Linked DNA regions of Nothobranchius furzeri. The protein of the gene in region 2 purifies or fractionates together with the protein of the main gene of each other region. This does not show direct contact. Links are inferred from orthologs where the notes say so. Each region holds a gene or a part of one and is shown on either strand. Other genes may lie near its edges. The genes, in order: nepro, npm3 and rpl6.

The links.
Region 1: the proteins of npm3 (region 2) and nepro purify together in Homo sapiens (affinity purification with mass spectrometry; 4 studies listed by BioGRID and IntAct, with this or other methods). This does not show direct contact. The link is inferred for Nothobranchius furzeri from reciprocal best matches to the Homo sapiens genes NPM3 and RMP64.
Region 3: the proteins of npm3 (region 2) and rpl6 purify together in Homo sapiens (affinity purification with mass spectrometry; 3 studies listed by BioGRID and IntAct, with this or other methods). This does not show direct contact. The link is inferred for Nothobranchius furzeri from reciprocal best matches to the Homo sapiens genes NPM3 and RPL6.

Annotation. Positions count from the first base shown.
Region 1 is NC_091754.1:12,629,898-12,633,650, forward strand, and holds the start of nepro (nucleolus and neural progenitor protein), read left to right. Parts: upstream 1-910; 5' UTR 911-998; coding exon 999-1,083; intron 1,084-1,273; coding exon 1,274-1,428; intron 1,429-1,507; coding exon 1,508-1,596; intron 1,597-1,730; coding exon 1,731-1,859; intron 1,860-2,014; coding exon 2,015-2,092; intron 2,093-3,241; coding exon 3,242-3,543; intron 3,544-3,753. Other genes in the region: tex30 (testis-expressed protein 30), read left to right, coding at 1-45, 233-397. UniProt on the Homo sapiens protein: May play a role in cortex development as part of the Notch signaling pathway. Downstream of Notch may repress the expression of proneural genes and inhibit neuronal differentiation thereby maintaining neural progenitors.
Region 2 is NC_091752.1:22,151,314-22,155,066, forward strand, and holds the start of npm3 (nucleoplasmin-3), read left to right. Parts: upstream 1-1,195; 5' UTR 1,196-1,369; coding exon 1,370-1,442; intron 1,443-1,581; coding exon 1,582-1,667; intron 1,668-1,843; coding exon 1,844-1,963; intron 1,964-2,039; coding exon 2,040-2,133; intron 2,134-3,753. UniProt on the Homo sapiens protein: Plays a role in the regulation of diverse cellular processes such as ribosome biogenesis, chromatin remodeling or protein chaperoning. Modulates the histone chaperone function and the RNA-binding activity of nucleolar phosphoprotein B23/NPM.
Region 3 is NC_091757.1:55,600,730-55,604,482, forward strand, and holds the start of rpl6 (large ribosomal subunit protein eL6), read left to right. Parts: upstream 1-1,544; 5' UTR 1,545-1,741; coding exon 1,742-1,891; intron 1,892-1,987; coding exon 1,988-2,086; intron 2,087-3,274; coding exon 3,275-3,418; intron 3,419-3,753.

The DNA.
Region 1 (3,753 bases), on a different chromosome or scaffold from region 2:
CATGTGCTGTTTGTGTCTGGCACTGAGGACAACATGTGTGACAGGGTGAGGGTGAAATATGTACCGGGCCTTCATCCTGGTACCTTTTAAGTTCACTTATTCAGTTTTTTATTTGTTTAATTTTATGTTCATTATATCCTAAAATCTATAATTTAGTGACATCATGTATTATTTTATCCATTTCAACTTTCACAATTATATTTCAGTCATTGTATTTACTTATCTTTTTTAGGAGCTTTTCAGTGGAGTACTGAAAGATATAAAAGCTCAGGCTGAAGTTTTATGGATAGCAGGAGGCAGCCATGGACTGAAAGTGAAAGGAAGGTCTGAGGATTCTGTGATGGATGAGATCAACCTGAAAGTTATCAACTGGATAAAGAAAATTGAGTTTAAGTGAATCACTGGAGTCATCTTGTTATTAGTTTGTTTCATTTTCTTGCATTTGTTAAATAAAACACATTGTTTTTATTACAACAAATCTGTTGGTACAGTTTTTACTGGGTGTTAAAACTTTATTATGCAAGCAAAGTATTCACGTTAATTCATTTTCTAAATGTGTGCACATTGCAAGAGCAGAGTTGCAAATATTGCAACATTAAAAAAAATAAGTAGCTCAAGCACGTGGGGATGGCAAACTTGTAAAATTATTTAAAAATATTTATTCAATATTTAATAAATGTTTCCAATTTTACCACATAGTGTATAAATACATTATCAAAAATATCCTTTTTTCTGTAGATTTTAAATATTCAAAATATGTTGAATTTCACTTCAAAATGTCTTAGAAATACTTTGATTTTTAAAAATGGTAAATTGTTTCTGTAACAATTTAAAAAATATAGAAGAATAAGCAAATGTCTTATTTATCTATTAGTTTTATTATTTTCAATTTTCGATTTCAAGTGTCAAACTTGTTTCTGTACCTTTAAATCCAATGTTGACGTCACACACTCGAACACTATTGGCTAATCGGCTTCCGTACATGGAATGCAGAAAGCATGGCTGCGGAACCATGGAACAGGGTAAACATTCCCTTTCCCAGTGCGACATCAAGCGTCCACATACGTCTCACATCAACAACAGGTTTGGCTTTTTAACTTTAAAATAATTACGTGTTTTACTTATATTGTCTGATGTCTCGCGCTCGTTTCAACGCGTAAAAACCGCGCCGATCTCAGCCCTCACGTGTGCGCGCAGGGGTTTTGCGTCGTGTGCTTCGATGGTGACACTCGTGTGTGTGTGTGTGTGTGTGTGTGTGTGTGTGTGTTTCTAGCTGAGGTTTTCAAAACCCTGCAGCGGGAAAACAGCCAAGTCCTGAAGCTTCTCCGCAGCAATATTCTTTGGACGGAAATCAGAGTTCTGTACGAGCTGCTGTACGTTCTAAACAACAGCATGAGAGGCAACAAGACGTTCAAGGGGTTACAACAGGTCAGCACCAAAGCTGCAGAATAACTGTTTTGATGTGGACTTCTTTAGATGTATTTGTCATGTCTGACTTCTCCCACAGGTTGAACAATGTGTAAACAGACTGAAGAACATGAAGCTTGATGCAGCTCTTGAGGATCTTGCAAATTTGTGTCCAACTAAGATTCAAATGTAAGAAGCAAACAACCCAAGGCTCTTCCTTTATAGTTGATGAAACAGGATAGGTCAAATCAAGTTTTAAAATATCTAAAGCGCAACCTTACACAGCTTTTTTCAAACTAATGTTAATTTGTGTGCATTTTTAGGACACTGTGCACCAAGAGCGGTGAGTGCAATGTTCCAAGTCAGCCCACGCTGGAGTGGACCTGCCTCAAAGTCCTGGGAGCCAGCAAACTCCTAAGCTGCACCTTGACCCGCTGCAAAAGAGCCTTTATGTATCCTGTTTTAGAGGATTGTGTTATCTGTGTGCATCATAAAAGTATCGGTGTCATGTCGTTTTTGACTGCTGGCGTCTTAGTTAGGGTTTAGTCTTTTTCTGATCACTTTATTGCTGGGGGGGGGGTTTATCCTTAACACATTTTTGTTTCAGACTCACGAGGCAGCAAATGAAACTGGAGGAGTTTGTGTTATTGTGTTTGGTGATCACCAGCATGCTCAGTCGTTTGTGGTAAGAGAAACTTTGAGAAACTGCAAAATAGAGGCTGGAGCAAATGTAACTCCAGAAAAAGCCATTTTTACTGATCATTTTCGGAGCAGTGCCTCGTGTTAGATTATGGGCCATTCCCATCTGTACCGGGTCGGCCCCAGCCTGGCCCGGTTGATTCCACACATCCTTGTCTTAAGCCCATGTGGACTGATTCTTCCCACCAATCAGAGGCTTGCTCTAATGGAAGGTGTGAATTTGCTGTCAGCAGTGGGTGTGTTAGCCCTGGTCGGCCTGAAGCAGAACCCCTCGAGAGAAGAGGGCTGAGAATGAGCCTTGGTTGGCCCGGTAAAATACCAGGCCACCCAGATATGTAAACAACCTACGCTACCCGGCCCGGGCCGACCCGGTACAGGTGGGAATGGTCCATTAAGCCCCATTCCCACCTGTACCGGGTCGGCCCGGGCCGGGTAGCGTAGGTTGTTTACATATCTGGGTGGCCTGGAATTTTCCCGGGCCAACCAAGGCTCATTCTCGGCCCTCTTCCCAAGGGGTACTGCTTCAGGCCGACCAGGGCCAACACGCCCACTGCTGACAGCAAATTCACACCTTCCATTAGAGCAAGCCTCTGATTGGTGGGTAGAAGCAGCCCACATGGGCTTAAGGCAATGATGTGTGGAATCAACCGGGCCAGGCTGGGGCCGACTGGGGCTACCCGGCCCGGGCCGACCCGGTACAGGTGGGAATGGGGCTCTTGTTTACAACACTGCTGTAGCTAGCGCTAATGATGAACAAGAGCCAACTGATACCAAATGATCCACAAAGTAAAAAGGTCCACACCATTGGGAAAAAAAAATGTTTATTTTTTAAATTTACACGTGCAGTAGCAACAAATCCAGGTCACCATCAGTCTGAAATTTTGTAGCTTCGTTTAACTCCCTCAGATGAGTGTAGGCTGTGCCGAGGTTCACTCTGGTTTTACCTCTATGTTTAGATCTTTTTTGGGCTTTTTATTGGCGAACTGATAGCAGTTTCTGGTCAGTGGAGGCCTACAGAGTTATGTCCAATGTGAAGTTGCTAAAGGTACTGGCTTAAGAACCACTGAAACCAGTTTGAAACCAGTATCTTAAAATGTAAAAACTGTTGAAGTTCTCCTTTTCTGTGCCTTACCAGGGTGATTTTCCGTGGTATCCTGGTTGGGCTCGCCAAACTGTACCCGAATGTCCTGGAACTCCTCAGGGATGTGTCCCAGGCCCAACCCATGCCATACCTCACTGGCATCTCCCTGCCAGCTACTATCGCTGAGATTCTGAGTCCTTCTGATAAATTATTACTGAAGACGCATTGTGCATTTCACTCTCACGTCAAAGATCAGAAGATAAAGCAGCAAAGCAAAAAGAATGTTCCAGATAAAGAGAGAACCCAGGGAAAGAAGAGGAAGATTACAGAAGACCTGGGGGTTTTGGTCAAAAGAGGTATAGTGTCTTGTCTTCTGTTTTACCTGGACTAGGGCTGGGCGATATGGCAAAAATAGAATTTCACGATTTTTCCAATATTTTATCACAATTTCGATTTTATCACGATTTTTTATCCATGAATAGCATAACTTCTATTGCGTATTAAAGAAGAGAAACATTGAATAAACAAACATTTATTCATATTAGGGATAATCAACACAGTGCTAA
Region 2 (3,753 bases):
TAAATATCACCTTTTTTTTACTTAGTTTTCTTTCAAATGGTTAAAATTTCAATTTTCTTTTTTTTTTTTAGAACAAACCCTAGACACGTTTACCTACTGGGACCAACATATTCAGTTATTTTATGATTTCTGCTTTTTGTTTCCTGATTATATTAAAATAATTTGAAGGGGCTACAATATTAAACCGTTATACAAAGTTCAGTTCTTTGCTGTGACTTTAAGGCCTGGTTGTTCAAATAAACAGCTAACTTTACCTTCAGCCTGATGTGGTTAGTTAAAGAATCATTAGTAATCATTAACCTCACGATAAATGAATATTAGTTCAGACTAGTTTTACACAGATCAGTGCAGATACCGTTCATCTGCAGCTTTATAGGTTTAACCTCATGTTTAGGCTTTTCCTGTGTTATTGAATGTTTTCTAATCCAAATATTTAGTTTGGGTTTAATATTCAGTACATTAAATCTAAATTAGTTTTCTATTGATTACAGTAGATAATCAGACACTACCCTATAGCTGCTTGTCAATGTGGTGTTTCAGAGTTGTACATTTCATAATGTGCATGAGGTGTATTTGATCTGCTGTGGAGGACATGAATAAAAATCTCATCTGGTGCTGCATAAAAGAAGCATGCCACCTACAACTAAAAGTATAATGGTGTTGTGCTTAGTCTGTATAAGCTGTCGTATGGTGATGAACTTGTAAATAATCTTTCAAACTGGCATGCAGTCTAACTTTCAACGGGCTGCTTTTCTTGTACACCTGCATCAGCGATGCGTGAAATTTGCTTGCAAATTTTCCCTTTGACAAATTAAATCGATGTTTGATTTCTTTTATGGTTCCTTTTGCAGTATGCTGATATTTGTGCTTTTTTATGCCAACTTGATTTGACAATTAGGAGAAAGGGCTCCTCTTGTACATTTTGAGTTTAGATAGGGTGATTAAAGTAACCGTTTGTCTTTGTAAAATTTCTATGTATAATACGTTATAAAATCAATAAAGCATATTGAGTTGCTACAACAGGTGTCGAGTGTATTGATGGTTTGGGGGGATATTTCTGTATGGTATGGTATTTTATCCTAAAACGTTCTAGTTTATACTGCTTTGATGTGTAAAGTCAGGCTTTTTTATATCAAAAATAAGACCCCACTACGCGTCTAAAACACACTGATAAATTCTCACTAGTAAAGTAATATGTTTTAAACAAATTGTATGACAATTGCGAAACTGGCGAACCAAAACAAATCACCAACCTACAGGCGCATACTGATGACGTAGAGATATGCTATTTATCCGCGACTCCTGTTTTTCGTGAAACACTTTTAGCCACAAACTCTGACCATTTCAGCTGCCGACACGCTTTAACAAAATGTCTTTTAGTGAAGAAGAATCCGTGGAAGTTGGTTTTACTGGTCAATCAAAGTTGGAGAGCTTCTTGTTCAGTAAGAACCATTAAAACTTTTTTTTCGTGCCGCTCTGTTGGTGCACACGTGGGTTAACGGACGCTCCGAACGACACGAAAATGTCTCAGTGTCTCTGCTGCGAGTTTGATTCTTGTTTTTACTATTATTTTATCTTTAGGTTGCGAGTTGTCATCCAAAGTGCCTTTCTACACGTTCCAGGAGGACGAAGACGAAGACCTAGAGCATTTGCTTGAACTCAGAACAGTATGTGCTTCATAAATCTCACATTCGCAGAGTAGCCTCTGCTTGTCTGATGTTAACGTGCATGTGAATTCCACGTCATTCTTAGTTTTGTTTCTTATTATTGTCGCAAATTACCACATGAATCGTCCTCTATGTGGCTTCCAGTTGTGTGGGTTTCATCATCGTGTTTCTCGCAGATCTGTCTCGGTGAAGGTGTTAAGGAGGAGAGCAATGTGGTGGAGGTCACAGCCATGAACCATCAAGGAAAGACCATCTCAGTTCCCATTGCTAACCTCCACATTAAGTGTCTGCCTATGGTAGGTGTGATGTAGTTGCTTGTGAACCACGCAGCTGAAGTCTGCACATCTCTTACGTTGTGTGTTTTGGTTGTAGGTGAGTCTGGGAGAGTTTGAGCTGAGGGCCCCGGTGACCATCCGGCTCAAGGCTGGAACAGGACCCGTTGTTGTCAGTGGGCTACACCTCATTGGTAACTTTTGGTTTATATTATAATTAAATTTGTATTTAATCACTCCGAGCATTCATGTGATCACCACTTAACCTTAACTGGACTTATTCCAGTTGCCTTTATTTGACCCTGTTGAATGATCATGACCTGGATGACTGGGAGCATTCGCCAGCACCACTTAACCTTATTTAAGTTTTATTTTTTTAAACACAAATGTAAACTGTTAAGGGACACTATTTAGACAGCCTTTTCCATTTCTCAGTTCTATTCTCATTTACTCATAAGAGTAAACAAACCTCATTACTGTTTGTTAGTCATTCATTTTTTTGACCAACGATCATGTTGGCAGAGATGGTTTATTTGGATTATATACTTTGATATTTACTTTAAAGCTGGGGCCTGTCGAGTGACGTCATCACAGAGGTGGGGCATATAAGGAAATTTGAACTAAAGCTCCAGCTCCTCCTCTAAAAGGAGCTGAAAGCCACGCCTCATACCTTGCACGAATGGAAAGTGGAGCTAAAACAATAGTGTGGTTTAGCTTAAAGAGCATCTTGTAACTAAAACCACAAATAACTTTTTTTTTTTGCTAATTAACTGTATAATTTTCTGTATAACTGGGTCTTTACAAATGCAATCTTTCTGTTTCTGTGCATTTTTTGACATGTTTGTGTAAACGTGATTAAATCTAGAATCTAGATCTAAAAAAGTCTTAGTGCTGCCCCCTGTGGCAGAACAGCAGCTACTGCATTTTAAACTTGTGATTGACTGGGGCTGGAACTATTTCATGTCATCGGTACAGTCTCCTCCCCCTCCCACCCAGGATGGAAATTCCCCACACTTGGCCATGCCACTCTGTGCTTCCTGGCAACACCCACTTTCATAGCATTTTTCAAATCTTGACTAGGGTTGGAGTTACATTTTCTGATGGTGCGCAGTCCCCTGTTCATTGAAATGGTAGAAAAACATCCAAGATCAAAAAGTTACTTTGGGTGTCCATTTAGGTTTTCAGATAACTAGCAGGTGTTTAAAAATACAAAATCAAGAGAAGTGGGCAGGCTTCTCTAAAAACGCACAGTTTTGGAGTCACATGACACATTACGTACCTTGAGGTAGATGTGCTTTACTGCTGTTATTTTTAGTTGCTGAGGTAACACAGAATCAACTAGTTTAATGATGGTTAATGTTTGTTTATGTTGGGGTTGTACAAACTACACAACACCACAGCAGAAGATAGAGAAGCAGAGGTCAGATCAGATAAACGTAGAAGCGACATGGGCTGGGGCTTTCTATTGGCATTGGTGTAACTGCAGGTTGCCATGTTGGATGGGTCACCAGTCGCCCCCAGTGCATTTATTGGACTAGAAAAGTCAATAGTAATCCCACATAATCTGTTTTCTACAGTACGCCGGCTGTTGAAACGTAGACCGCACAAAAGCAGGCATAGTTATAGCAGGTATAGACAGCACATCACACCCACTCTTAAATCACTGTACTGGTTGCCCATTCAACTCTGAATCAATTTCAAAATTCTGCTCCTTACGTTCAAGTCTTTGAACAGTCAGGCCTCACCATATCTGAGCGAACTCCTCCAGTTTAACCAGCTGAGACCTTAGGTCTGCAGATCAGCTCCTCCTCACC
Region 3 (3,753 bases), on a different chromosome or scaffold from region 2:
TAAAACTGTGATAATGGAACACCTCTGCCCAGATTCTTCATTGCAACACTACTAATCTAACTTTTACTGTGTATTTGGTATTAGCTGATTTCTGCAGCACACATCTGCATCTATTGAGGTACAAAGGTTTAGGATTATGTGTGTATGTGCCTAAAATGCCGCTCTGTGTCCAGGGTTGTGTCAGCATTCTGCCTTTAAATGTTGTGGATCACTCCTTTTTTAGGGTCTAGTGTTGCCAGAATCGAGGCGGTTGCATTAACCGATTTTGTACTTCTGTGACGAAACAAAAATGAGAAAATTTAAATAAAACTGTCCAAAATGATCCTGTTGTAGGTATTTTTATTTTTACCCCTGATGTTTTATTTTGATTTCAAAACTAATAACAGAACTTATTAAACTCTGATTAATCTGAGTCTAATGACACGCCACTACAAAAATTATTAACAAATCAAACAAAAGCTTGACATTACAATTATTTTTGTATAAAATAAAATAAAAATCCTTAATTTAACTATTGTTATGAGTAGTGTTTCTTTTTAATAGGCAAAAGCCAGAAATATTCAAATGTTCTCAATAAAAAAACAATAATTTATAACAAGACATATTTTGCGCATCAGCAATAACCTATAGTTTTTTTTTATGTTTTATGGCCTTTTTGGGGGGGCCGGGGGGATAAACTCAGGTTTTTTTTCACAGCTTAAATTATTTTTAAGCATTTTTTCTCAGTGATTATTACATTGATTAAAATAGTCACACAAAATATCCATTTACATAATAGTTTTTTTTTTTTTTGTTTTCTATTTTTGGAACAGGACAAGCGTTCATTAAGTCAACAGTGGTTCATTCGCAGATATATTAACCATTATTAAATTTTAGATTTTTTACTGAAATAGGATAAATAAAACCTCGTGATCAAATAACAGCCATTACAAATAATTTGGACTAACAGAAAAACACAACTTTGTTTAAAGCTGACGTTAAAACGTCAACGTCATCGTCTGGCGTCCTTATATGCGTAACGTCCCCGGATGTCGGTCTTTTTTTCATAGCAAAGGTAAGACAGCCTTGCTTTCGTGTAACGCAAGAAATTAAAATCTGCTTTCATCAGTGTTACTGAATAAAAACTGGAGCCTGAAAATGTTCAGAGATTAAAGTTTACATTTACATGATCCGTTAGACGTCAATATTAGAGAAATTTGTTCACAGCGTTGCTTTAATAAGGAAGAGTTTAGTGCACCGATGCGCATAGGCCGCCGGATAGCTTCTGTCCAGACTGTCGTTACTCACACCGTTTGTAGAAACGTGTCCGTTTATGCTATTCTCTGTTCTCATAGTTTAGTTGTCTTCTTGCTTAATTTTACTCTCCGCGTCAAATTTATAAAGAAATGTGATTAGCAAATGGACTCGGCTAATGTGTTGCTAGCATGTTGCTAACGCTCGTCTTATGCATTTGGTGCCTTTGTAGCTTTATCTGTCATGGTTTACCTTTACCAGAACCGTAGTGAGCCATGTTTTCGTAGTTCTCTGTAACCCGTGCAGGTTTATTTAGTTACTGGCTACCAACAGGGTTAATGTTATGATTGTCATTAGATCAGTTCTGGTGTTGTAGTTCAACACCACCACGGCTCCAAACCAAGGCAGTAGTTGCCCACAAAGTGTAACTTAAGTCTTAAAAACCATGATTATTTAATAAATGATGCTATTAATATTCTAATAACCGTCAACCTGTCTCCTCTGTTAGATGGCAGAGGGAGATAAAAAGAAGGCTGCCAAGAAGAAGCACGGGAGCCGGAACCCGGTTCTGGCCCGGGGCATTGGCCGCTACTCCCGGTCCGCTATGTACGCCCGCCGGGCAATGTACAAGAGGAAAACCAAGACCACCGAGACCAAGGCATGGACGGGTCCTTGTCACTTAATATTATTTGATTCCAAAAGTGTAGGACACAGCATTTGGTTAGATTTTGTATCTTCATTTTCTCATTTTTAGATTGAAAAGAAAGTAAAGACCAGACCCCAGGCTACGGTGGTAAAGACTGTTGGAGGAGACAAGAATGGAGGCACTCGCGTTGTTAAGCTGCGCAAGATGGTAAGTATTCTGTAAAGTGTTGTATTTTGAAATGTTCTTAATTTAGCCCTCTGTGTTAAGCTCCTGGCATCTTCAGGCTTCTAGTCAGTTTAAAACGATGTTTTCCAACCCTGATCCTCAGGGTACACTGTCCTACATGTTTTCCATGTCTCTGCTTCAGCACACCTGATTTCCATATGATATGCATCAAGCGCCACAGATGCCTGTTAGTCACTCGTTCTTTTAAGTCGGGTGTGTGGCAGCAGGGAAACACTGGTGTTTAAAAGGGCACAATGGAAAACATGCAGGACATTGTGCCCTGAGAACCAGGGTTGGGAAACACTGGTTTAAAAGGAAGTGTCATTCTATTACATGATAGTGGATGAAATACAGTTGTCCCACATGAGTGTTCGGCTGACATCACATTGTAAATTGCAAGCTTTTAAACTATCTATTCTGCTCTGACATCTTCCTAAATAATTTGCACACACCGTATGGTCATACCTTCATTGAGTGCGTTTACATACAGCCAGTAACCCATTTAAAACCCGATTATTCACAATAACCCGGTTCCGCAGGTCCATGTAAACACCGCCAAAAACCCGGATATGCTCATAACCGGGTTTTTAAAAAACCCGGTTACTACACCTGGGGTAACCCTTTTCTTTTTTGGTCGTGTAAACGCATACCGGGATATCCTCATCAAAGCGTGTGTTCTGCGCATGCTCTGTTCGCAAGGAATCTTGGTCTTTTGAGTAGCGAGACGTCTTGTATGCGCCAGAACTCCGGAAGTAAACAACAGGTGGGGAGCAACATGGCGAGTTGTGGCACAGCACCACACTTTTGGAGTGACGAAGAAACTAAAGCGCAAACAAACGCGGTCGCTATCTCTTCCGAACTGGGAGACAGGTTGTTGTTTTCACGGATACCGGAACGAGAAGAACCAGAATTGACGCATATTGCGTCTGGACGTAGTCCATACGTCTTAACGCTACCCCAACATCTGCATTTAAATCGGGTTATGCAAGTTAGAGGTAATTCTTTCTATTTATGCTTGTAAACGGGTTATTCTGATCAACTCAGAAACCCGAATACCGACCTTAACCTGATCATAACCCGGATATTGGCTGCATGTAAACGTACTCATTACTGTTTTAAAACATTTGCATGTTCACGTGTTTGTTTAATTTAAATCTGTCGTCCTTGTAGCCACGCTATTACCCAACGGAGGATGTTCCTCGTAAGCTGAAGAGCCATGGGAAGAAGCCCTTCAAGCTGCACAAGAGGAATCTGCGTTCCTCTATCACTCCTGGAACAGTCCTCATTCTGCTTACCGGTCGCCACCGTGGAAAGGTAAGACTCTGGAGCGCACTGATCAAGATGTGATCAGTGGTGCAGAATTGACTGACAAAAGGCATCAGGTGGGATAGTTGATAAATAAAAAGGGTTTTTAGATTGTTTTGAATACATTATTATTTAACAAATGCATTTTCAGACTTAAACTGTATCAGGATGCTGAAGAAATTACCGGCAGTATTAAAAGTTAAAACTTATTTATCCGTTTAATGTCAGTATTGCCTTACGCATGAAAACTATTGGCTACAATAGTCTGTAAAGATGTGGTATCTGAACAAAGTCAGCTTAAATAATCTCAAACAGAAGAATGCTGTGTTTTAACTAGAAGTAGA